4 linked regions of the Rattus norvegicus genome follow. The main gene of each other region encodes a partner of the protein of the gene in region 3 in a complex. Links are inferred from orthologs where the notes say so. Each region holds a gene or a part of one and is shown on either strand. Other genes may lie near its edges.

What was found.
Region 1: the proteins of Diaph1 (region 3) and Pfn2 are in contact, whole or in part, in a crystal structure (PDB 2V8F), measured with the Mus musculus proteins. The link is inferred for Rattus norvegicus from reciprocal best matches to the Homo sapiens genes DIAPH1 and PFN2. Residues at the interface, in NP_031884.1 of Mus musculus: Ile635, Pro636, Pro637, Pro638, Pro639, Pro640, Leu641; in NP_062283.1 of Mus musculus: Ala2, Gly3, Trp4, Ser6, Tyr7, Asn10, Ala28, Tyr30, Trp32, Arg108, Met131, Tyr134, Leu135, Ser138, Phe140.
Region 2: the proteins of Diaph1 (region 3) and Cdc42 are in contact, whole or in part, in a crystal structure (PDB 3EG5), measured with the Mus musculus proteins. The link is inferred for Rattus norvegicus from reciprocal best matches to the Homo sapiens genes DIAPH1 and CDC42. Residues at the interface, in NP_031884.1 of Mus musculus: Met90, Asp93, Met94, Asn95, Leu96, Lys100, Pro103, Leu104, Lys107, Ile111, Met115, Gln118, Tyr119, Thr122, Ser133, Tyr139, Ser158, Arg160, Val161, Ser162, Leu163, Pro167, Val168, Val171, Arg210, Lys213, Ala214, Asn217, Asn218; in NP_033991.1 of Mus musculus: Val36, Phe37, Gln61, Glu62, Asp63, Tyr64, Asp65, Arg66, Leu67, Pro69, Leu70, Pro73, Glu95, Lys96, Pro99, Glu100, His103, His104.
Region 4: the proteins of Diaph1 (region 3) and Ppfia3 are in contact, whole or in part, in a crystal structure (PDB 4UWX), measured with the Mus musculus proteins. The link is inferred for Rattus norvegicus from reciprocal best matches to the Homo sapiens genes DIAPH1 and PPFIA3. Residues at the interface, in NP_031884.1 of Mus musculus: Lys252, Ser255, Ala256, Ile259, Gln307, Asn310, Ala311, Thr314, Pro315, Ala316, Glu317, Arg322, Gln352, Cys354, Val355, Glu358, Gln359, Glu362; in NP_084017.2 of Mus musculus: Pro719, Arg720, Arg723, Leu724, Arg726, Met727, Ala728, Ala730, Leu731.

The regions. Positions count from the first base shown.
Region 1 is NC_086020.1:144,218,795-144,225,309, reverse strand, and holds the start of Pfn2 (profilin-2), read left to right. Parts: upstream 1-2,373; 5' UTR 2,374-2,503; coding exon 2,504-2,635; intron 2,636-4,591; coding exon 4,592-4,784; intron 4,785-6,515. UniProt on the Homo sapiens protein: Binds to actin and affects the structure of the cytoskeleton. At high concentrations, profilin prevents the polymerization of actin, whereas it enhances it at low concentrations. By binding to PIP2, it inhibits the formation of IP3 and DG.
Region 2 is NC_086023.1:154,847,920-154,853,679, forward strand, and holds part of Cdc42 (cell division control protein 42 homolog), read right to left. Parts: intron 3,431-5,760; coding exon 3,321-3,430; intron 3,218-3,320; coding exon 3,020-3,217; intron 1-3,019. UniProt on the Homo sapiens protein: Plasma membrane-associated small GTPase which cycles between an active GTP-bound and an inactive GDP-bound state. In active state binds to a variety of effector proteins to regulate cellular responses. Involved in epithelial cell polarization processes.
Region 3 is NC_086036.1:29,977,801-29,983,560, reverse strand, and holds part of Diaph1 (protein diaphanous homolog 1), read left to right. Parts: intron 1-438; coding exon 439-547; intron 548-1,533; coding exon 1,534-1,644; intron 1,645-1,791; coding exon 1,792-1,910; intron 1,911-2,769; coding exon 2,770-2,886; exon of another isoform or gene 2,887-2,945; intron 2,946-3,867; coding exon 3,868-3,983; intron 3,984-4,694; coding exon 4,695-4,759; intron 4,760-5,760. UniProt on the Homo sapiens protein: Actin nucleation and elongation factor required for the assembly of F-actin structures, such as actin cables and stress fibers. Binds to the barbed end of the actin filament and slows down actin polymerization and depolymerization.
Region 4 is NC_086019.1:104,954,275-104,959,124, reverse strand, and holds part of Ppfia3 (liprin-alpha-3), read left to right. Parts: intron 1-900; coding exon 901-963; intron 964-1,124; coding exon 1,125-1,151; intron 1,152-2,159; coding exon 2,160-2,335; intron 2,336-2,849; coding exon 2,850-2,947; intron 2,948-3,374; coding exon 3,375-3,550; intron 3,551-3,631; coding exon 3,632-3,700; intron 3,701-3,885; coding exon 3,886-4,057; intron 4,058-4,391; coding exon 4,392-4,450; 3' UTR 4,451-4,463; intron 4,464-4,627; 3' UTR 4,628-4,850. UniProt on the Homo sapiens protein: May regulate the disassembly of focal adhesions. May localize receptor-like tyrosine phosphatases type 2A at specific sites on the plasma membrane, possibly regulating their interaction with the extracellular environment and their association with substrates.

The sequences.
Region 1 (6,515 bases), on a different chromosome or scaffold from region 3:
TGCTTGAGTTCCAGTCCTGACTTCCTTTGGTGATGAACAGCAATGTGGAAGTGTAAGCTGAATAAACCTTTTCCTCCCCAACTTGCTTCTTGGTTATGATGTTTGTACAGGAATAGAAACCCTAAGACATAACCTCAAATTTAAGAGTTCCTCCTGATCCTGCCTTTCTAGAGCTGGGATTAAAGATATGTGACACCACACCCTGCCCCATCTTTAATTGCTTAAAAAAGATTTATTTTGTGTATCTTGGTATCTTACTTGCATGCATATATATGTATACTACCTGCATGCTTGGTGCCACAGATCCCCTGGAACTGGAGTTACAGTTGTGAGCTGCCACGTGGGTGCTGATAATTGAACCTGGTACCTGTAGAGGAGTATCCAGTCCTAACCTCTGAACCATTTCTCCCCCCATCTTTAGTTTTTAAGGTGATAATAAAAGTTAAGAAGTAAGAATTAAAATGGTTGTGGCAAAAAAGGCAGAATAAGAAATAGGAAAGAGTGAGGGAGATTAAATCAGGTGAGGACACAATGGCAGAAGTGGATGGATTCCTTTATAAGGAGAATTCTCTATCTTCCAAACATGAGGACAAATAATCTCTACTTGACAGTTGACTACTCTGTTGTTGGTCCTACTCGAGGTGGCTTGAATGAGAATGGCCCCCAAAGGCTCATATATTTGAATGGATAGTCATCAGGGAGTGACACTACTTGGGAAGGATTAGTAGGTGTGGCCTTGTTGGAGGAAGTGTGGTACTGTGGGTGGGCTTTGAGGTTTCCAAAGTCCAATTCAAAACCAGTGATGCTCTCTTCCTGCTACTTTGGGATCCAGACATAGAACTCTCAGCTATTTCTCCATATCATGCCAGACTGCATACTTCCAGGCATGATGAGAATGGACTAAACCTCTGGAACTGTAAGCCAGGCCCCAATTAAATGCTTTCTTTTATAAGAGTTGCTGTGGTCACAGTGTCTCTTCATAGCGATCAGAACTCTAAGACATTATTTTTTTTAAAGCCCAATAAATAAATAATAAATAAAAGTTCAGTGATGCTATTATAAAATTGTCAGTGTGCTCCACAACTTTAAACTTGATGATAGTTTGCAATCTACTGGAGCTTTCTTTCCCTTAATAAGCAGGTCGGGTTTGTCACCTCAAACTGGTCATCGTTGGGGAACATCTGATGCTGAGTCTAGACCCAGCACATAAAGTTAATAAAGATGTAGGAGAATGTTCGGAGACTCTTAAACCATTTCCCACCCTGTCATATACAAGTCTTCCTCGGATGTAGATTCTGAATTATTTTCACCATTTAGTACAGTGGGTCTCAACCTGTGGGCCTCAAACCCTTTGGGGGCACATATCAGATATTTACATTATGATTCATAACTAGCAAATTTACAGTTATGAAATAGCAACAAAATAATTTATGGTTGGGGGGTTAGCACAACATAGGTAACTGTGTTAAGGGGTCACGCTCAGCATTAGGAAGTTTGAGAACCACTGGTCTAGTTCAATGAATCTTTTCTAGCTCGACTATTCTTTGTATTTCGTGGATGTATTTAACGCACAGTAACTTTTCCAGTTACCAAGTACGCATAGGGTCTGGTTTTTTTGTTTTGCTTTGCTTTGCTTTTTTTAGTTAGAATTTCTGGACCGTTGAGCCCCATGTGTGATTAGCAGCACTGCGTTCAGGGCAAAAGCTCCACTGAACCTGGAGTTCCTCGTACTCAAAGGAGGCAACAAAGAGCTGCGCTGCTCCGTTGCCACTGCTCTGATTTCAGGAGCGTGCGAGGCGCAGCTGGCCAAGGTCTTTCAAGAGACACCTCCCCAAGTGTGGGCAACCCGCACTGGCCGCTCCCACTACAAAGAGTAAACCCTCGTCTGCATCCCGTCACCAGGGCAACCCTGCCACCCGACACCGGTGCTGTCAATAAATACCGCGTCCAGGGCTGGCACTTGAGGAGTGAGCACCGCGGCCGCCGTGCACCCAGAGCTCTGGCACCCTACGGCGCCCACTCAAGCTGCCTCGCCTCATAGCCTGCGGTGAAGCCTCCGCCGCCGCGCCCCAGCCCTGCTCCCGCTCGCCTGCCGCACGTGTGGGCCGTGATTGTCCCCGGCGGTATCCCTCCGCGCCCCCGCCTCAGCTCTCCCGCCCTCCCCGGGACCCTCGCCGGCTGCGCTGCGGAAGGATCGCACGCACGCGCGTACACGTCCCGCTGGCCGCGGAGAGCCGAGGGAGCTGCGGTGTGAGTCGGCCGTCGCCAGCCCCGCTGCAAGCGTCGCTCAGCCGCTGGCCCCTGAGCCCCGCGGCCGCGGCCGCCCGGCGCTCCCCGCTGCGGGTCCTGTCCCCGCCCGCCGCAGTTCCCCGGAGAGGGGCGGTCGGTGCCTGCGCAGAGCCGCCTCCTCCCCGCCCCCGCCCCGCCTCCACCGCCGCCGCCGCCGCCGCTGCTGCTGCGCCTCTGCTCCTGCCGTCCCCGCTGCAGTGCGAAGGGCTCGAAGATGGCCGGTTGGCAGAGCTACGTGGATAACCTGATGTGCGATGGCTGCTGCCAGGAGGCCGCCATTGTCGGCTACTGCGACGCCAAATACGTCTGGGCAGCCACGGCCGGGGGCGTCTTCCAGAGCATCACGGTGAGGCCCGGGGGCGCCGAGCCGGCAGGTGTGCGGCGGGCCTGAGGAAGGGGACGCCCGCCCGCGAGGAAGGGGATGAGGCCGGGGCTGAAGGATAGGGTACCGCCGGCTGAGGAAGGGCATGCAGCCGGGGGGGCCCCCGTGCCAGCCGCTGAGCCTGGGGATGCTGCCCGAGGCCGCGCGGGGGCGGGGCGGCCGGACTCTTCGCCCCGGCGGCGCCCCGGCTTGCGGCTGCCAGGGTGGAGGAGGGGACGTCACCCCGGGAGGCCCCTCAGCGTTCGGGGAGCCCGGCGGGCTGCAGTGCAGGTCCCCGGGTGTGGGCGGGAGGTCCTAGGCAGCAGGCTGGCCCTGGCTCGGCAGTGTGCGCGGGATGTGGGTGGCGGCGGTGGCCGGGTCCCGGGAATTAATGGAGTGACTTTGCGTAGGCTTGCGGGTGTCCAGGCCTCCTAGGCTGGAGAGAAAGGTACGCGGACCACGTAGGTGGAATCGTGAATCTACTTCAGCTGTGGCTCTATAGTTTTTTTTTTCCTCCAAGATGGCGAACTGCCATTGATTTCTCTTCTCCACCTATAGAGATTCATCGATATACTGTTATCCCCAGTTACGCAACATAGCTCTAAAAAGGGGATGGTTTAAGGGTGATTTAAAAAAAAAATCTGGGGAGTCGCTGGGGGGGGGTGACACTTCTCAAGTCACTCCCTCTTTAGTGATGGTAGTAAAAGAACTAATACCGATATCTGCTTCACGTTGTCTCATCTTCATGTGACTTGATGGCATTTGACTCGGTTGCCACACGTTTGGAGTATATTCGTCAATCAGCCTCCAGCACTGCTTATTGTTATGCTCGTTTCTATGCAATGCTCTTCTTTAAAATTTTGGCACCAGTATCAAGTACAAGACCATTCCCTTAATTTCTTAGTTCCACACTCCCACTCCCTTCCCATCACCTAGGAAAAATCAAGTCCCATATCACAGGTGCTCAGCATTTTACTACTTAACATGGTTTAATATATCAGTGTGGATTCAGTCCATGATAGGAGTGCTTTAAGATCTCCTGTCCCCATGTGAGAGATCACAATTCCTACAGCGAATTGACATTTGGTGATTTAACTTTTTTTTTCTGCAGTCTTGCCTTTGTGTGTGAGTTCCCGCTGTCTGGCTTAAGAAGATTGCGGGAGTATGCTTGGAAATGGCTGGGGCCTGCTATGACTCTGCAGTTCTGATGGGGGCGACGCCTTCCTTCTTATTCATGGAATGTTAGAATGAACGTATTCTCTTTTCTATTCTGCCGGCTAACTCACTTTCCTTACCAATGCCCCTCCATTTTCTCTCTGATTTTACTATTGGTTACTGCAGTGCTGTAGACAGACTCCACACTGCATTTGTCCAGAAGGAAAAGCTGATTATTGAATGGAAGGGCAAGGCAAGTTGGAGAGAAAAAAGTGGCTAGAAAAATAGGAGGGAAAAACGAACTTGGAAATGCCCCACAGTGATGGAGGTGGTGTTTGAGGCTCACACTGCCAGGGATATTTCAATCTGCTCGAAACAGAGAAGTGAGCAGGTTTATCTGGGTAGACTTTCACTCAACTTTAACTTTGATGCAACATGACTAATGTGGCTGAATGTGACAGACAAGCTTTTGTAAGAGCTTATAGCTGAATCTTTACAATTACATAAGCACCTTCAAGTAGCACCTGACTTGATATAGTTTATAAATAACTCAATTTCAGTTTGTAGCCGGTGTCAACTGCCAACTGTTTAGGGAGACTCTTTGTACCGTTGCTATACTCTGGCTTTTAGTTAGCAGACCTCACTGCAAAAGCAAACTAATGTGTAAATCATGTAACCGTGTAATGATAAAAACAAGAACAATCAAGATATTTACATCAGCACACAGTTTGTTGTATCAAATTCTGATTAACTGTAATTTTTTTCTTCTTTGTTTTGGGTGGCCAGCCAGCAGAAATAGATGTGATTATAGGAAAAGACCGGGAAGGTTTCTTTACCAATGGTTTGACTCTTGGAGGAAAGAAGTGCTCTGTGATCAGAGATAGCCTATACGTTGACTCGGACTGCACAATGGACATCCGGACAAAGAGTCAAGGTGGGGAGCCAACATACAACGTTGCTGTTGGCAGAGCTGGGAGAGGTAAGCAAGCTGGTTTTTTGTGCCTGAAAGTTGCATGCCACGTTAGAACTTGGGTTTCTTTAATGGTTTAAGTAAAGATTCGTTCCTAGAGACTCTTAAGGGGGTTTGTGAGCTGCTCAGCACTGAAGGCTGGCACTGCTACCATCTCGTCTGTTTCAGAGTGGTGCGTACGCGCCTCACTCCTCCCCCTGACTGCTGTAAACTGCCACAGCTTTAGTAATCTTAACAATGGAAAGTTGCCTCTTAAGCCGTCATGTTAGGATGCTGGGGTATATGTGGTTGTTAAACTGTTCTGGTCACTTAGTTATTTTTGTGTCTAATTAGTCTTGTAGAGCTCTCCTTTAATGTTTCCTTAGATTTGAAATCCGTTCCCTGCTCATCATAAAAAGGAAACAATCACATTGTTTTATTTTTCTGCCAGGAACATTTCGGAAGAAGAGAGAAATAATCTAGAGTTTTAGAGTACATGTCCCATTTATTAAAATACTTCCAAAGAATGAGATTTTAATTTGAAAAGTAGGAAACTACATGCAGTTTATATACTTGGCCCACAAACTCTGGTACCAGTTTCTAGACTTGGTAATAAAAATTCTGATCTCAATATGGCGTAAAAAATTTAATATTTCATAGAGAACCTTTGAGATTGAAATTTACACTGGCATCTCACTGACAAATACATTTATGCATTAACTTGTATAACTGCATCATTTGGCAAAGTTAGCACACAACAGTTCTGCAGTGTGAGCCTAGTGAGTTATAATTTAATGCTGTGGGTGTCTGAGGTGTGATTTGTTTCATAAACAAATCACATAAAACAAGATAACTTTAAAACATACAAATCTTAAGTTTTAGCTGTGTCCAGATATATAAGATGCTAAGCTTGGGAAAATAAATGCATCAGCTGAAGGGCTGGAGAGATTGCTTAGTGCATAACAGCCATGACTGAGTTCTCTTCCCAGCACCCACACAGCAGCTCACAATTGTGTAGCTACAGTCCAGGGCTCTGATGCCCTCTTCTGACCTCCAAGGACACGAGACACATGTAGTATATACGTATGTATGACAAACACACATATGCATTTAAAAAAAATCAACACTTGAAGCCAAATGAAATGAAACTTTTTTTTACCATAAAACACTGCTGACATCTAGTGGCAGTGAGTATATTTGGCACACAGCTGTACATAAAGTTGAGTTCAGTACAATACAAATTCGGTGCTAGAAGTAGTAAACAAGTTTGATGATTTTTAGACTGGAAACAATTAGCAAAGGGAAGTATCAATATAAGACAAATACCACTGATGCAGAGTTTTTTGACTGACAGTATCATTTCTGTCTAAATTTGGTTTTCATTTTCCTCTGGAAGTAATAGACATGTTAACTTATTTACAGTAACACATGTGAGACAATAGCTCGTATTTATCATGCATGCTGCATTTGAGGAGAATTTATAAATGAAAAATATCAAGTTGTTAAAGTATATTTTGAGAGACAAATAGTGTGGTGTCAGCCAGAATATTTCTCCCTGTGACGCAAGGTAAATGATCGCCTTCCTTCTCGCTCTCACGCAGAGCCTTTATGGGACTCAGCTGCTGTACAGTGGGCTTCCCTGCATACATCTCACAGTGTGCTGGTTTACTAGCCTGAAGGATCTCCATTCTGGAGACATAATGGTTTTGAGTGTTAAACAGTTATGGAAAACTAACTTAATGTTAACTTATTAATTTATCT
Region 2 (5,760 bases), on a different chromosome or scaffold from region 3:
ATGGTGGCTCACAACCATCTGTAATGAGATCTGATGCCCTCTTCTGGTGTGTCTGAAGACAGCTACAGTGTGTGTGTGTGTGTGTGTGTGTGTGTGTGTGTGTGTGTGTGTGTGTTTAATTCCAGATCCTGCAAAGTCCAGGTGTTTCCTCAAAATCTGCATCCAGGACAGCTCCAAAGCAGTTACCCACAGATGCTCCAGTCCAGCCTCACAGACTATTTCAACTAGACCTGCACTTTCCAAGTTGCAAATGGTCCCACAGATCCCAGACAACCATCAAACAGCTGAGCTCTACAACAACATGACCAGCATCCCAATTTTCTTAGGCTCCCCAAAGATGACATCACCCCTACCAGCAGGAAGTCTAAAGAACACAATACCCTAACTCCTGCTCTACCATCACCCCTCCCTAGTTCTTCATTTTTAATCAAACAAAAGGGAGGAATGTTAGCTTACAGGCAATTCTATTAGGCTCCTCCCAGAGACCTACCAACAGCTTACATCATCTTCTGAGGCCATCACCTGCTACAGCCACCACGCCACTCCACCGCATGTGTGTTCTCAGTGGCCTCTCTTTCCCGCCCCCCTCTTTATACCCTCATGGCTCACTCACTGCCTCTTCCTTTTCCCAAGTTCTCATTCCTCTCTCTTTCCCCCAATAAACCCCCTTTATTCCAGATGTATTGCATGCTGTAATTACTCAGGGGCACACCTTGCCATGGGAACCATGGTACCCCCTCACTACATTATATTTCCTAACTCCAAATCATTCAACAAAAGTACAACTTGGAAGGTAAGCAATGCAGGCCTTTAAAAGACTAACCAGGCTCTCCATAAACACAGTCCTCTCACAGAACAACATACGGAAGCCAGGCATGTTCTTCTTGAGCACTACTGCTGAACACCTTATCTCTATAAAGCCAGGCTTGGTGGTGCAATTCTGTAACCCCAGGATTCAAGAGGCTGAGGCAGGACTGCCACAAATTCCACACTAGTCTGGGCTACAAGACAAGTATAAGGTCAGCCTGGGCTACATAGCAATCAGTAGAAAGAAAGGGGGGCTGGAAAGATGGCTCCATGGCTGACAGTGCTTCCCTCTCTTCCAGAGAGCTGGAGTTCCATTCCCAGCAACATTAAAGGTGGTTCCCAACTTCTGTAACCCCAGTAAGTGCAAGCTGTAAAGGTGTGAGGATGTGAATGATAATGTAATTTGTAGGGGTCTAAGAAAGTAATTTAAAGTGTACATGGGTTGGGGATTTAGCTCAGCGGTAGAGTGCTTGTTTATCAAGCGCAAGGCCCTGGGTTCAGTCCTGAGCTCCAAAAAAAAAAAGTGAAAAAAAGTGTACAGATGCAAATTAAAAAGTTCCGAGGAGGGGGCTGGAGAGATGGCTCAGCAGTTAAGAGCACCCGACTGCTCTTCCAGAGGTCCTGAGTTCAATTCCCAGCAACCACATGGTGGCTCACAACCATCTGTAAAGAGATCCGATGCCCTCTTCTGGTGTGTCTGAAGACAGCTACAGTGTACTCACATGAATAAAATAAATCTTTAAAAAAAAAAAGTTCCTAGGATATGAACACTTAACTAAGTTGGAGAGTCTATTAAAGTGATTTAAAGTGTGTAGATGTAATCTGGAAAGATATGAGGAAGTGATTTAAGGCATGTGAAAAGTGAGAAACGTTTCAGATTTCTTTCCTGCTCACTATGCTATTGTTATATTAAGACTTCAAAACTTCAAAGTTGTAACATTAAACAATGGAGCTCTGATAAACTATTGATCTAGCCCTGATAGAGCACTGACTACTCTAATAATAGGCACAGGCTCAAAATTTTTACTTTCTTTTGGTCTTCTAAATATACATTTAAACGTGTTTCTCACTGTGCTGAAAATATCTCTGGCTTACAGACACTGCTTTTTCTACAATGGGGACTTCACTGCAGATTACAAATAGCAGTAATGCCAATTATCTACAACTTTTACCTTTTTGTGAACTTTGTAAAATTCACATAAGCTTTAAGAAATTGACACTCAGATCCACCTGTCACAGGTCAAACAGGCTCCAAATTAAGTATTCCCGATAATCAACAGTTTCAGTGTTCCTGCCTATTACTGCCTATCTCTTTTCTCTTTTTTTTCCGGAGCTGGGGACCGAACCCAGGGCCTTGCGCTTGCTAGGCAAGTGCTCTACCACTGAGCTAAATCCCCAACCCCTACTGCCTATCTCTTGAGAGTAGACTCTCTCCTTCCCTGTTCTTAGACTCCCTTCACCATCATACCCACCCAACTACCAGGACCGCAGGCCTGGAAGTTTTAGGTGTAAACCCTAGATGAAGATTTTCCCCTAAGCTCCTCATCTTTACATTCTGTTCTTAGTCTGTATCTGTTCCCACCGATTTCCAATCAAGGGAAGAATGTAAACTGCTCCAAACATGCCAGCCTCAGGTGGTCCTTTACAATCAGCAAGCCCTGAACTTTCTGAGAGCCGATATAAACTGTCTGACTTGAGCACTTGCTTTGGCCCAGCATTCCAGACTGCTCACAGCACCCTAACCTCCCTTACCTCCCAGCCTTAACCAGGCATCCCAGTGTCCCTGAGCCCTTAATTTCAGCTAAGAAGTAGCTACATTGCCCCTATCACAAACGAAAGGCTGGAATGTCAGGGCCAAATTGTGACAGTCGGATAAAAGCCCTCGCTCCTCAGGAAACCATTTCCTTATTACTGGCAGAAGAGACAAACGGCTACCTTTGGTACTTATTAGCATAACCAAGTGCATCCTGGCCTCCAGGCTCTGTTCCACATTTCAGAGTCCATGCTGGTGTCCTAGCTCTCCTCACCCACTTCTTACCCTAAACTTCTCCAGCTCAGAAGCCCTACCCACCCCATCCCACCCCACTACACTCACACAGTATACATTCACAGACAAATTTTTAAGGGAAAAAATAATAAAAGGAGAAGAGCCTCTGTATCCTCATGCTCCAAACAACTGACTACACAGAGACATGGGTTGCAGAGCCCTTACCTGTGTGAGGGCGGAACACTCCACATACTTGACAGCCTTCAGATCCCGCGCCAGCTTTTCAGCAGTCTCTGGAGTAATAGGCTTCTGTTTGTTCTTGGCAAGTTTCTCAATAGTAGAAGGGTCATCTCTGAGATCAATTTGGGTCCCGACAAGCAAGAAAGGAGTCTTTGGACAGTGGTGAGTTATCTCAGGCACCCACTAAAAACAAGGTTTTAAAATGCTGTTAATCTACAAGCCACTGACACTATAAAAGGGTAACAGAAATTCTGTGCAGGTTTGAAGGAGGCAGGACCTGACTTACCTTTTCTTTCACATTTTCAAATGAGGATGGAGAGACCACTGAGAAACATACTAGAAAAACATCTGTCTGTGGATAACTTAACGGTCGTAGTCTGTCATAATCCTCTTGCCCTAAAGAAAAAGTTAAAGAGGTCAGCAACTGAAATCTGGTATCCTTGTGGCATTAAAATTATAGTCAAGGCCTACAGCTATAGCTCTTTAGTACATAGAGTGATAACCTAGCATGCATACAGCCCTGGATTCAATCCCCATACCACATTAAAACCAGGCATGGTTGGCACAAGCCTATAATCTCAGCACTAGTGAGACGCAGGCAGGAAGGTTAAGTGTAACCATGAGATCATATATCAAAAAAAAAAAAAAAAAAAAAAAAAAAATTAAAGACGAGCATAGTGGAGCTAGCAAGATCACTCAGTGGTAAGGATGGTGGCTGCCATGCCTAACAACCTGAACTCAGTCTCCAGGGAACAGATGGTGAAAGGAAAAAAACCAACTCTCCCAAATTTAGCTTCTTGACCTCCACATATGTATACTATGGCATGTGCTTCCACATAAATAAATAAATGTAATTTAAAAGGAAAAAGAATATGGAGATATGGGCGATGCCCATAAACCCAGCACACAGGAAGGAGAGGCAGGAGATCACCACAAGTCTGAGGTCAGCCTGGTCCACAAAGACAGCTCTGAGACAGCCAAAACTACATAGTAAGGTTCTTGTTTCAAAGAAGAAGGGGGGAGGAAAACTACAGCTCTGACAACACTTCGAGTGTGTAGCTCTTAGCATATGAGCCATTAGTGACAAAGCTACGGCTTAGTAACATACTGTTTGGACAACACTTTCTGTGCTAATTCTATTTATATATACCAATAACTTACAAAGGAAAACTGACATATTTTCTTTTTACTTTTTTTAGTTCTATAACTCAGTAATAATATAACAACAATAAACTATTGCCACAGGTGTGGTTTAAAAATATCATACCTACTTCTGGCTACATAATGATCACAGCAAGCCCACTAATAAGTACTGTACTGAAGGCATCCATAATAATGCCCAAGCCAAGCGCAAGGCTTGGTCCACACGTGCATGTTAAAGCCACTCTGTAACTGGAATGGCCTAGAAAAAATGAACTTGGAAGAATGAAAGGTATGTAAGAAGAATAAAATACTTAGAAATTAACCAAAGATAAGAGTCACAAAATAAAAACAGCGAAAAACTGCTGAACATAACAAGCCCCAAGAAATGGAAAGACAGCCTATGCTCATATGCAGGACGACACTGGGTGAATGACTAAATATAAAAACAAATACATACATACATACACACACACACACACACACACACACACACACACACACACACACACACACACCACACAGGTCGGTAGGATGTCTTAAAGGGAAAAAAGAACTATGATCTGGATGAGAGAATAACTAGAAAGCAAAGAGTTAACCAAATCACAAACAAAGCCAATTTATTTAAAAAAAAAAAAAAAAAAGCGGAGATGGGCTGGAGAGATGGTTCAGTGGTTAAGAGCACTGACTGCTCTTCCAGGGGTCCTGAGTTCAATTCCCAGCAACCACATGGTGGCTCACAACCATCTGTAATAGAATCTGATGCCCTCTTCCTGATGTGTCTGAAGACAGTGACAGTGTATCCACATACATAAAAAATAAATAAAATCTTTAAAAAATAAATAAAAATTTAAAAAAAAACTTTTGAAGAATGATTTTTAAATGGGTATATGCAATTGGCCAGGAATAGTGGCACATGCCTTTAATGCCACTACTTGAGAAGTAGAAGCAAGTAGATCTGTGAGTTCAAGGCCAGCCTGATCCACATAAAGAGTTCCAAGATAGCAAGGCCACAGTGAGACCCTGGTGGGTTTTTTTGTTTTCTTTTGTTTAAGAGACTACAGAGAAAAATGAAGATGTTTACCCAGTGTTAAAAACAAATTGAAAATAATTTAAATAGCTGATAGAAAAGGCAGTGCTCTCAGCTAAATGTGCTTTATGTATAGTAAGGCATTCTCAACATCTACATTACACAGACAAAATATACTCCGTAAATTTTCTAATGAAAGAACCATCCTAATAAATAAACATCAAGTTTACGGCCTTGGTCATATTAACGCAACTAAGATTATTTCGTTTCATGGTCTTATATAGCCCAGCCTGGCTTAAATTTGCTATAAGGTCTTGAGTTTCTGATCTTCCTGCTTCTGCCCAGGACTGCTGTGATTACAGACAGAAGAAATTTAAGAAGTAATGCTGGGGATTAAATCAGGGGCCTCATCATACAAACTAAATCCCATCCCTAGTTCCCTACTGTGAGCTCTGAACCAGGAGGAAGGGAACAGTCAGCAGACACGTCTTCTGAGCGCATCTCCTTAGTCTCTTTCCAGCCTCCAAACCCACCAGAGTTTACCTAAGGACTCTTG
Region 3 (5,760 bases):
ATGTAATACACATTAGAAATTGATGGTACTGTTAATATCAAATGGTCCTTAAAAAGTCAGATAACTTGTTTGTTTGTTTGTTTGTTTGTTTGTTTGTTTTCGGAGCTGAGGACCGAACCCAGGGCCTTGTGCTTGCTAGGCAAGCGCTCTACCACTGAGCTAAATCCCCAACCGCAAGTCAGATAACTTGTATTTCACAGCTCAAAGACTTTAATTTTGTATTCGTGAGTAGAAGTCTAGGGATGGAGTTTAGGAAATTATTCTCTCCAAAGAGAGTCAGTTGCATTTATCAGTTTCTGGTATCAGTTGGGGTTAAGAAACTAATTTGAGAAATCTGAGGCACTGGTGGTGTCTTGTTTCCTAATTGGTTTGTTCCCTGTCACATTTCCCCATGCCTGTGTTAGTGCACCTAGCCAGTTCTTTCTGTTTTCTTGGCAGGAATGAACGAGTTTTAGAGGCTATGACAGAGAGAGCTGAAATGGAAGAGGTTGAACGCTTCCAGCCACTGCTGGATGGGTTAAAAAGTGGGACGTCTATTGCACTCAAAGTACGTATGTACCCTAAAACCTCTCCAACAGTAGAATAGAGTAGAATTCAAAATGGAAAGACCAGAGTTCATTTACCCTTCATTTTTCTATGGTATGGGAAATTGAACCTAGGGCTTTGCTTAAGCTGGGTAACTCCCCTATTACTGAACTACCACTGAGCAAGGCACTGGAGAACCCTTTTTAATTTTTTATTTCAGGATATTTTAATTTTGTTTTATAGCCTGGACTGGCCTCAAACTCATTATATAGTCCAGGCTAGACATATCTGATCCTCTTGTCCTAACCTCCCAATTGCCCAGGCTAGTCTTGGAGATCTTCCTCCCTTCCAAGGCACACAGGTCTACACCACCAGGTTAGTGTCATTTGGCTTTGTAATAGAATATATGGAGGCTGGAGAGTTGGCTCATCAGTTAAGAGCATATACTCCTCTTCAAGTTGAGTTTCCAGCACCCATGTCAGACAGCTCACAGCTGCCTGTAGCTCAGCTCCAGGGGTATTTGATACCTCTGGCCTCTTTGAGCACTGGCATGCATGTGTGCATACACACACACAGACACAGACACACACACTCACACACTAATGCACATAAAGTTGAAAATAATACAAATTTTAAGTCTTTATTAAAATATGTAATGTTCTCAGCTATACTTTTTATATTTTAGGTGTTTTTCCTAAAGGAAAATGATTTTTTTCTCTAAAAAACAGAGAACTACCTTTCTCCTTGTGATGTTGGTGGGATAAACCAGCTACTTATTAGTACCTTAGGAAAATGGAGGTTCTGTAGTAACATGTTATGTCCTTGGATTCATTTAAAAGCCTAAATTCTCCAGAGTTGTGTTCAGCGAGGTTTTGTTGCTCTAGTATGAACTTCCTCTCTGTAGTTTTTATTCTGTATCTTTTATGGAGCTCCAGAGTGTATATAAATAGGGGACTCCTTATCCATAAGGTTGACGGCTGACGTAGCAGCTGAATTTGCTTGTTTCAGGTGGGATGCCTACAGCTGATCAATGCTCTCATCACTCCCGCTGAGGAACTTGACTTCCGGGTTCACATCCGAAGTGAGCTGATGCGCTTGGGACTGCATCAAGTGTTGCAGGTAAGATGGAACCTTTCCTTAGGAAGGCTGCACTTCCCTCCTGCTCTTCCAGCCCTGGTCATCTCTGAGATGATTCTGGTTTTCAACTTAAACACCAGGTTGAAAGGCTTGGATTTGGGTTCTCTCACTACTTGCTGTCATTGGCAGGAGCTTCGAGAGATTGACAATGATGATATGCGAGTACAGCTCAATGTGTTTGATGAACAAGGGGATGAAGATTTCTTCGATCTGAAGGGACGACTGGATGATATCCGCATGGAGATGGAATATCCTTTTATGACTGATGACTGAGTTCAGGACAGATGATACATTTACTTACAGACTGAATGTATGGAATAGTCTGGAGAGTGATCACTTAGAATAAGGCCTAAGACTGGGAATGGTGGCACATGACTTGAATTCGTCTCCTAGCACTTAGGATCTCTTTTGAGTTTGAAGCCAGCCTGGTCTGCATAGTGAACTCCAGGCCAGGCCAGCTAAGCCTACACAGTGAGAGTCTGTCTCAAAAAAAAAAAAAAAAAAAAAAAAAAAAAAAAAAAAAAAAAATATATATATATATATATATATATATGTGTGTATATATATATGTGTGTATATATATATATATATATATATATATATATATATATAATACATAAAGCTATGTCTACATATTGCTGTTGGCTTTATTTACTTCAGCATAGACCAGGAAAGCTAGGAAAGGTGATTTCTTTAACATCAAGGCATCCATCAGCCTGTCACTCAAGTGCTAACGTAACATGTTTAGCCATATTGCTCTCACGTCCCAAAGTGTCCATCCAAATCTCTGTACACCTCCTACAGCACGATATCTTCCTGAGCTGTGGGGTGGTATGCAGAGCCCTCTGGACTGACAAGCAATAATACTATTACACAGTTGCCTACCTGCCACAAGTGACTTTGATGTGGTTCTATTTTTAGTTTCTTCAGTATGTATACTAGGATCCTGTGTTTGTGGACAATGCCACTCTTGGTTGAATGAACTAGTGATGTTTTAGGAACAGCTGTTGTAGTAGAAGTGGTATCTTGATACCCTCTGTTGGTTGACAAGAAACCTGTCAAACATCTTCTAATTACTTGATTTCCTTAGCCTGTCCTTTTTTCTACTGACTTTGGTGAAGTTTTCCAGATTATTTTAAACACAGTGAAAGATTCCAAGGCAGAACCACACTTCCTGTCTATCTTGCAGCATCTCCTGTTGGTCCGAAATGATTATGAAGCTAGGTAAGCTGATAATGTTGCATCTAAGTGGAAAAGCAGCATCCTTAAATTCAAAGATTGTTCTAGAAAGGTAAAAAGAAATGAAAAAAGACTGTAGATTAGATTCATTAGTCACAGATATAAAGGAAATTATCAACAGCTTGATTAACATACCAACTGCTTTAATTCAGTTGAAAGGTACCTCTTTGGATAGGTAATTGTGTATAAAGTAAAATGTCCTTAGGAGGAAGTGGGTAAGTGGGCTGAGGATGACAACAAAGAGATGGAAACTTAAAGTTGTTTCTGCTTTCTTGGAAGTAGAGATCGGCCGTTGCATGACAAGGATCATAAGGCTGGAGTCCAGCCTGGGTGTTGGGAAGCTGTGTACTGGCGGATGGAGAGACGGCTCAGTGGTTAACTAAGCATGCATGCTGCTCTTGCACAGGACCCACCAGTTCCCAGCCCTCACATTAGCCACACAAACCTCCTGTAATTCTGTGTGACACTTGTGACCTCCATGGCACTTTTATACATGTACACAGATACACGCAAAGAAAAAGAAATTAAGTGAGTGCATGTGTGTATGCACATGCATGTTAGCATTTATGTGCTTGAGGTTGAACTCAGCATGTTCCACATGCTCAGTACATGTTTTACCACTGAACTGCAGCCCCCAACCTGTAAGAGCTTTTGGGTATCTGAAGGAGAGAATGAAAGCTGATCTAGAGAGGAGAATTTGCTAACACAGCAGTAAGGCTTCAGTTAGCTTCATCAAAGCTCTTCCTGGAGTGTTTATCCATAATTCTTTTTTTCTTTTTTCCGGAGCTGAGGACCGAACCCAGGGCTTTGCGCTTGCTAGGCAAGCGCTCTACCACTGAGCTAAATCCCCAACCCCTTCCATAATTCTTTTTATTGTCAAAGCCACTAACTCTTCTTGATCCAGAATACTTCTGGAAGATACATTTTTTATTTCTGTTTGATAAATTTGTTTTGTTTCTTTCATAGGCCGCAGTACTATAAATTGATTGAAGAATGTGTTTCTCAGATAGTTCTACACAAAAATGGAACTGATCCTGACTTCAAGTGCCGGCACCTGCAGATTGATATTGAGGGGTTGGTTGGTAAGCGTGCTTTTCTACCCAGCTCCTCAGAACACTCAGCACTTGGACCTTTTGTTTTCATCGTTCAGTGAAACTTTCAGAGAAATCCTTCTAGTCTCTATTTCAGTTCTTTCTCAGTACACCCTCTTTGCTGGCATTGTTTCATCCTAAGTTTATTTCAGCACAGTGAAAATCTTGCCTTTTTTTTTTTTTTTTTTTTTTTTTTTTACAGGGACTTCAGGTATTTTCTGACTCTGCTGGTCTTAGAAGCACAAATGTCACACAAAGGCATCCTTCGTGTGATTTCTTTACCTTGCACTTTGAAATACTAGGCTAAGGGCCAGCATGGTGGCAATAAGTAGATGTGCCTGCATGTGGGCCTGAGGACCTGAGTTTGTGCCCCAGATTCTGTATGGTGGCAAGGAAGAACCACTTTTGATAGTTGTCATCTGACTTGCACACATGTGACATATACATACATAGACACTAAATACACACAAAATATGAAACAACTATATAAATAAAACTTAGAGGAAATTGTAAATTGTACTTAACTGAAACTCACATTTCTTGGTCTAGTGCTAGTGCAAACCATTAGGAGTGGCGTCAGCAACCCAAGTGACAGAAGAGTGCCCTTGAGTGTGTTTGAGGCTTAGGAGCAGAGACATCAACTTCGGCACTGAGACTTGACTTACTGCATTGTTTTCAGATCAAATTGCTTTTTCTTTTCAGATCAAATGATTGATAAAACGAAGGTGGAAAAATCTGAGGCCAAAGCTACAGAGCTGGAAAAAAAGGTGTGTATGAAGGCATAGGACTAGAGTTACCTTATGTGTGAAACTTGGGTTCATTCTCTAGCATCATCCACAAATATGTGTATATGTAACACACACACACACACACACACAAATAAATTTGGGATATATCTTTTTTCTTTGAAGATAATTAAGTTTTTTTGTTTTTTTTTTTGATATTTGAGACAGTATTGTCTATGGTATTTTAAAAGCATCCAGAATCCTAAGGTTCCTAGAGGAAAGTCTTTTTGTTAGTGGAAAAGGGGGTATTGGTGTGAAATGAGAAGCTAGAGGTGGTCTTGTGTAGTGTTTGGGCCACCAGACAAGACAGCAAAGACAGATGGTATTCTATGTAAGTGTGCATCTCAAGTTACTCCTAGGACTATAGGAACTGGAGTACGACTCAGTTCCTTTTATCATCTCTGTAGTACTTAAGGATTCCTTTTGTGGTTGGAATTGTGCACTGTAGCTGTCCTGGTTTATGTTAGTTAGGGTTATTATTGCTGTGACAAAAAGATTTTTGAGGGAGGAAAGGGTTTATTTCTTTCACATTTCCATATAAATGTTCATTATCTAAAGCAGTGAGGGCAAGAACTCATGCAGGGCAAGAACTAATGCAGAGACTGTAGAGGGGTGCTCCTTACTGGCTTGCTCCCCATGGTTTACTCAGCCTGCTTTCTTATAGAACCCAGGACTACAGGGATGGCCCCCACCCACAATGGGCTGGCCCCTCCTACATTGATCACTAATTAAGAAAATGCCTTATGGGGGTTGGGGATTTAGCTCAGTGGTAGAGCGCTTGCCTAGGAAGCGCAAGGCCCTGGGTTTGGTCCAGCTCCGGAAAAAAAAAAAAAAAAAAAAAAAAATGCCTTATAGCTGAATCTTACGGAGGCATTTTCTCAGTTGAGGCTCCCTCCTCTCTGATGATCTAGCATATCAAGTTGACATAAAACTAGCTAGGATGTGGTTAAAGGTCTTTCATGTCTTAGGTTAGGTGGCTTGGT
Region 4 (4,850 bases), on a different chromosome or scaffold from region 3:
AATGCCAATGCCCAGTGAATCCACAGTCTCTTTACTTCGAGACACTCTCCCTGTGTAGCTCTGACTGACTTGCTTGTGCAGTCCTGCCTCTGCCTCCCCAGTGCTGGGATTACAGGCCTGCTCCACCATGCCAGGCTCCCAGGTTTGCCCAGCACAAGTGGCAAACCTCTTCCTGCTGGTATACCTCTCCCTTTGCCATGTCTGCTGTCACCTTCTCAGTCCTCACTGTGTATGACACCAGGGAGGTGACATCAAAGGCCCAGCCCCCCCCCAAAAAAAACCCCAAACTCCTTTTTAGATTTATTATGTGTATGGATGTTTTACCTGCATGAGTGAATGGGAGAGTGCCTGGTTTCCCTGAGACAATTTCTCTGAGTAGACCAGGCTGTTCTGGAACCCACTGTATAGACCAGGCTGACCCTCCTGCCTCTGCCTCCCAAGTGCTGGGATTAAAGGCTTGTGCCACACATGTTCTTAACTACTGAGTCTTCTCTCCATCCCTGAAATCTTTAAATTTAACTTTTATGAATACATTTATATTTATACATTTATATATTTATGAAATAAATGATCTCTCTCTCATCTCTCTCTCTCTCTCTCTCTCTCTCTCTGTGTGTGTGTGTGTGTGTGTGTGTGTGTGTGTGTGTGTGTGTGTTGGTGTCCAGCACAGAGCATGAGTGAAGACTAGCAGTCTACTTTCACCATGAAGGATAGAACTCGGGTCATTAGGCTTAGGGGCAAGCACCTTTACCTGCTGAGTCATCTTGCTGGATGGTTTCAAAGGGTTTCCTCTGGAACCCCAAACAGAATGAGCATAAGCCGATGAGCTAGAGTGGGGCGATTAGGAGACCATCTGTATTCTGTGTCATCACCCATTCCTTAACACCCTGCGCCCTTCAGCCCACAGGAAACGTGTGGATGACACACGAGGAGATGGAGTCTCTGACTGCAGCTACAAAACCCGTGAGTGCCTCCTGCTGGTAGCCCTGGGGGTGGCACTATTCCTACTGGGTGTGGGGGCTGGGAGGAGTCTGTCTGTTAGTGCATCGTCTGTCCCTTCTGTTCTCCTCTGCCTGTCCCCTTAACCCACCCCTTCTCTCCCCCTCTTCCCACTAACGGGTCAGGAGACCAAGGAGATCAGCTGGGAGCAGGTAGGGGTGCAGGGCGGGTTGGACGCATGAGCAGGTTGTGCACGCTGCATGGTCTTTCTGTTTCTCTGCGCCCCACCCCTCGTCTGAACATTCTAAGTCCCTGCCCTGAGGGGAAGGCTGCAGCGTGGAGCTCAGCTGTTCATAGTTCTTGTGTTCATAGTGGCTCGATGGGGGACAAAGTGGGCCCCTCAGTGTCTGCCTCCAGCCTGGCTATTCCATGGTTGTGGGTTGCTCGGAAGCTGGGGTTTGTGGGATTGCTGCAGCTGGAAGGAACTGCCCGGTATGGGAGGGGTTTGCATTGAGGGGATGGGGAAGAGGGCTGCCCTCACTGTTCAGGAGCTCTGCACAAGGGTTAGCTGTGCTAGTTATGGTGGCCTTGAGGTGGGCCAAGCAAGTGAGAGGCGGGGAGAACACAGTACATCGTGGCCTGGAGAAGAGAGACACAAGGTGCCCAGCTGGAACTTGCCAGGGGTGGAGACACCCGGTTGAACTCTGATCTGTTTCCTTGCCCTAAAGCTGCAAAAGACTTTGGGCTTGTCTCATAGCCTTATCCTAAACTGAATTGCTTGAACTAGTATTTTCCGGGTATTGCAACAGTGATGTCTGTGGGTGGCAGGAGAGCCACGCTGAAGTCCTGACTTTCCGGGTCTAGTCATGTTTGGGCTGAATGGATGCAGACCTGCAGGGCTGGGGGCCAGTTGATGGAGCCCTTGCCTAGTGAGTTCCAGCACCAAGCTGGAGTATGGGGTACACATCTGTAACCCAGCACTCAAAAGGGTGGAGGTAGGGGACTCTAGTGTCATCCTCAGCTTCACCAAAAGTTTGAAGCTAGCCTGGGCTACATGAGACCCTCAGCTGGTCCAGTGGTCCCAGTTGTAGAGCCAAACTGTTCTGTGGTGGGAAGAGAACTAGTTTGGGATGGGGGGTGGCTGGACTTTATCCTTTCCCTATGCATATGGGAAGGGACAAGAAGGTCTGACCCCCTCCCTCACCTGCCCATGGCCCCAGATCCTGGCATATGGCGACATGAACCACGAGTGGGTGGGCAACGACTGGCTGCCCAGCCTTGGGCTGCCCCAGTACCGAAGCTACTTCATGGAGTCGCTAGTTGATGCTCGGATGTTGGACCATCTGAACAAGAAAGAACTGCGAGGCCAACTCAAGATGGTGGACAGCTTCCACAGGTGGGGGCTGCCTGGCCAATGGGAACAGCCCAAGGGGAAGAAGTCATAGCCCTTTAGAGAAACTTTGGCTAATGGGAAGTTCCATTAAATTTTCGCTTGGTGTTCCTTGAACCAAAGATGATGGTCCATAGAAAAATTGATAACTGGTGACCTGCTACTGGGGAGGCTGGAGGACTACAAGTTTGATGTTAGCCTGGCTACAGAGTGAGTTCAAGCCCAGGAAGTGTTAAAAGATCTTGGAGAGAGAAAGGGAGACAGAGAGAGAAACACAAGCAAGAGAACACAAGTAACCAGTACGGCACTGGGACTTCGTGCTTCTGCCTAGTATAGGTCACACATGTGCACGCACGCATGCACGCTCACACACACACACACACACACACACACACACACACACGGGACAGAGGAAGGGAGGGAGGGGGAGAAGGGAGGGAGGGAGAGAGTTAGTTCTGTAAGGGCAACAACAGTGGCCTCGGGAAGGCTTCTAGGTGACTCAGTTTCTCCAACTGCTCAGGGTTAGTCTGCACTATGGTATCATGTGCTTGAAACGGCTCAACTATGACCGGAAGGATCTGGAGCGAAGGAGGGAAGAAAGCCAGACCCAAATCAGAGGTGAGGTCCTGTGGGAGATATGTGGAGGGGCAGACTGAACGGCGGAAAGCCAGAGAAACCAAGAGCTACTAGAAACCGGGGAACCACTATGGGGGCGTGGCCAGACAATAAAATGAGTGTGGAGTTATGTGTGGCTGGACATGGCCACTGGGGCGCGCTATCACACAAGGGGTGGAGCCGGAAATAGGGGCTGGGCCAAGAGAGACTATGAACCTGTTCTCTAGGAGGCGCTGTTCCCAGAAATAATGAGTAGAACCAGTGTGGGGCGTGGCTAGGGAGGGTAATGGGAGTACGGGCCTAGCTGTCCAGTTTCATAGATGACGGATGCAGCGGCATAGAGACCTAGCTAGGAAAGGAAATAAGTTAGGTTAATTTGGCAGGGCTGGCCACTGGGAGGTGCACAGTTAAGAGTCCCTTTCTTCCCCAGATGTGATGGTGTGGTCCAACGAACGGGTCATGGGTTGGGTGTCTGGTCTTGGCCTGAAGGAGTTTGCTACGAATCTCACCGAGAGTGGGGTGCACGGAGCCCTGTTGGCTCTGGATGAAACCTTCGACTACTCCGACCTGGCCTTGCTTCTACAAATACCTACACAGAATGCACAAGTGAGATTTGGCTGGTCAGCAAACATGCCGGGTATCCCCACCTGTATGCTCCAACTAACCTCTTCCCCCTTTTCTTTCCAGGCTCGGCAACTGCTGGAGAAAGAATTCAGTAACCTCATCTCCCTAGGAACAGACAGACGGCTGGATGAGGTGGGCGTGGCAATGAGGTCTTGTTTCCAATTGCACTTACAAATCCGAGATGAAGGGGTGGGGCTTGGTGTTGCCAACCAAATGTGGCTGGATGTTGAGCTTAGTGAGGGTCACTATTAATGCAGAGGGGTAGAGTCAGAACTTGTGCCCTCCTCCCTCACCTTGGGTTCCTATCAAACAATTAGGACAGTGCCAAGTCCTTCAGCCGCTCCCCATCCTGGAGGAAGATGTTCCGTGAGAAGGACCTCCGGGGTGTAACCCCCGATTCAGCCGAGATGTTACCCCCCAACTTTCGTTCAGCTGCAGCAGGAGCCCTAGGCTCACCGGGACTCCCACTCCGCAAACTGCAGCCTGAAGGTAGGGGACTCTTAAAAGTGACAGTCCAGACCCTATTCATGTGTTAAGACAACCTCCATCTGGTCTAGCCTACCTGCCTGGGCTACAGGCAGTCAAGACAGTCCGGCTGCTTAGTAAGATTGTTTCAAAAAGTAAAAAGAGAGCTGAACAAGTAGCTCACTGGTGAAGGAACCGCCTAGAATTCCACTTTGAGGAGCTGGGGGTGTGGTTCAGCGGAGGGCTTTTGACTGGCAATTCCGTGGTCCCGCCTTCAATCTCCAGTATTAGGGGGGAGTGGGTGTTTCCTAGGGTACACTAGGGTAGTTCCAGATTGAAGCGCCGTTGCTCTCTCTAGGCCAGACTTCTGGGAGTTCACGAGCAGACGGTGTTTCGGTCCGGACTTACTCCTGCTAGTGTGCACCTCCAGGTGAGGACTCGGCCAGGTGATTTTTAGGGTTCAGGGTGGTGCCACGGGAACGCGGGATGGCGTACCAGATGGTTCCCACTCTGTGAACTGTCTGACCTCAATGCAAGTGACTTCACTCCGAAGAAGACCCTTCCGAAGGCTGGGCCGTTTTCCCTCCTTTCCAGAGTATTGTCTAGCCAGAGACCGCCGTGAGGGAGCTCGCCCCTGCGGACTGCACCACCTACACATACCAGCCGGGTGTGCGTGTTCCCGCCTCCCAAATGGACTGGGCCTGGACCAAACCACAAGAAATGGACTTAAAGGGGGCAGCCGAAGAAGAGGACAGGAAGAAATCCCACCCCAAACTTCCGCCTCCCTTTTCTCTACTTTGTAATTTATTAATCCGTT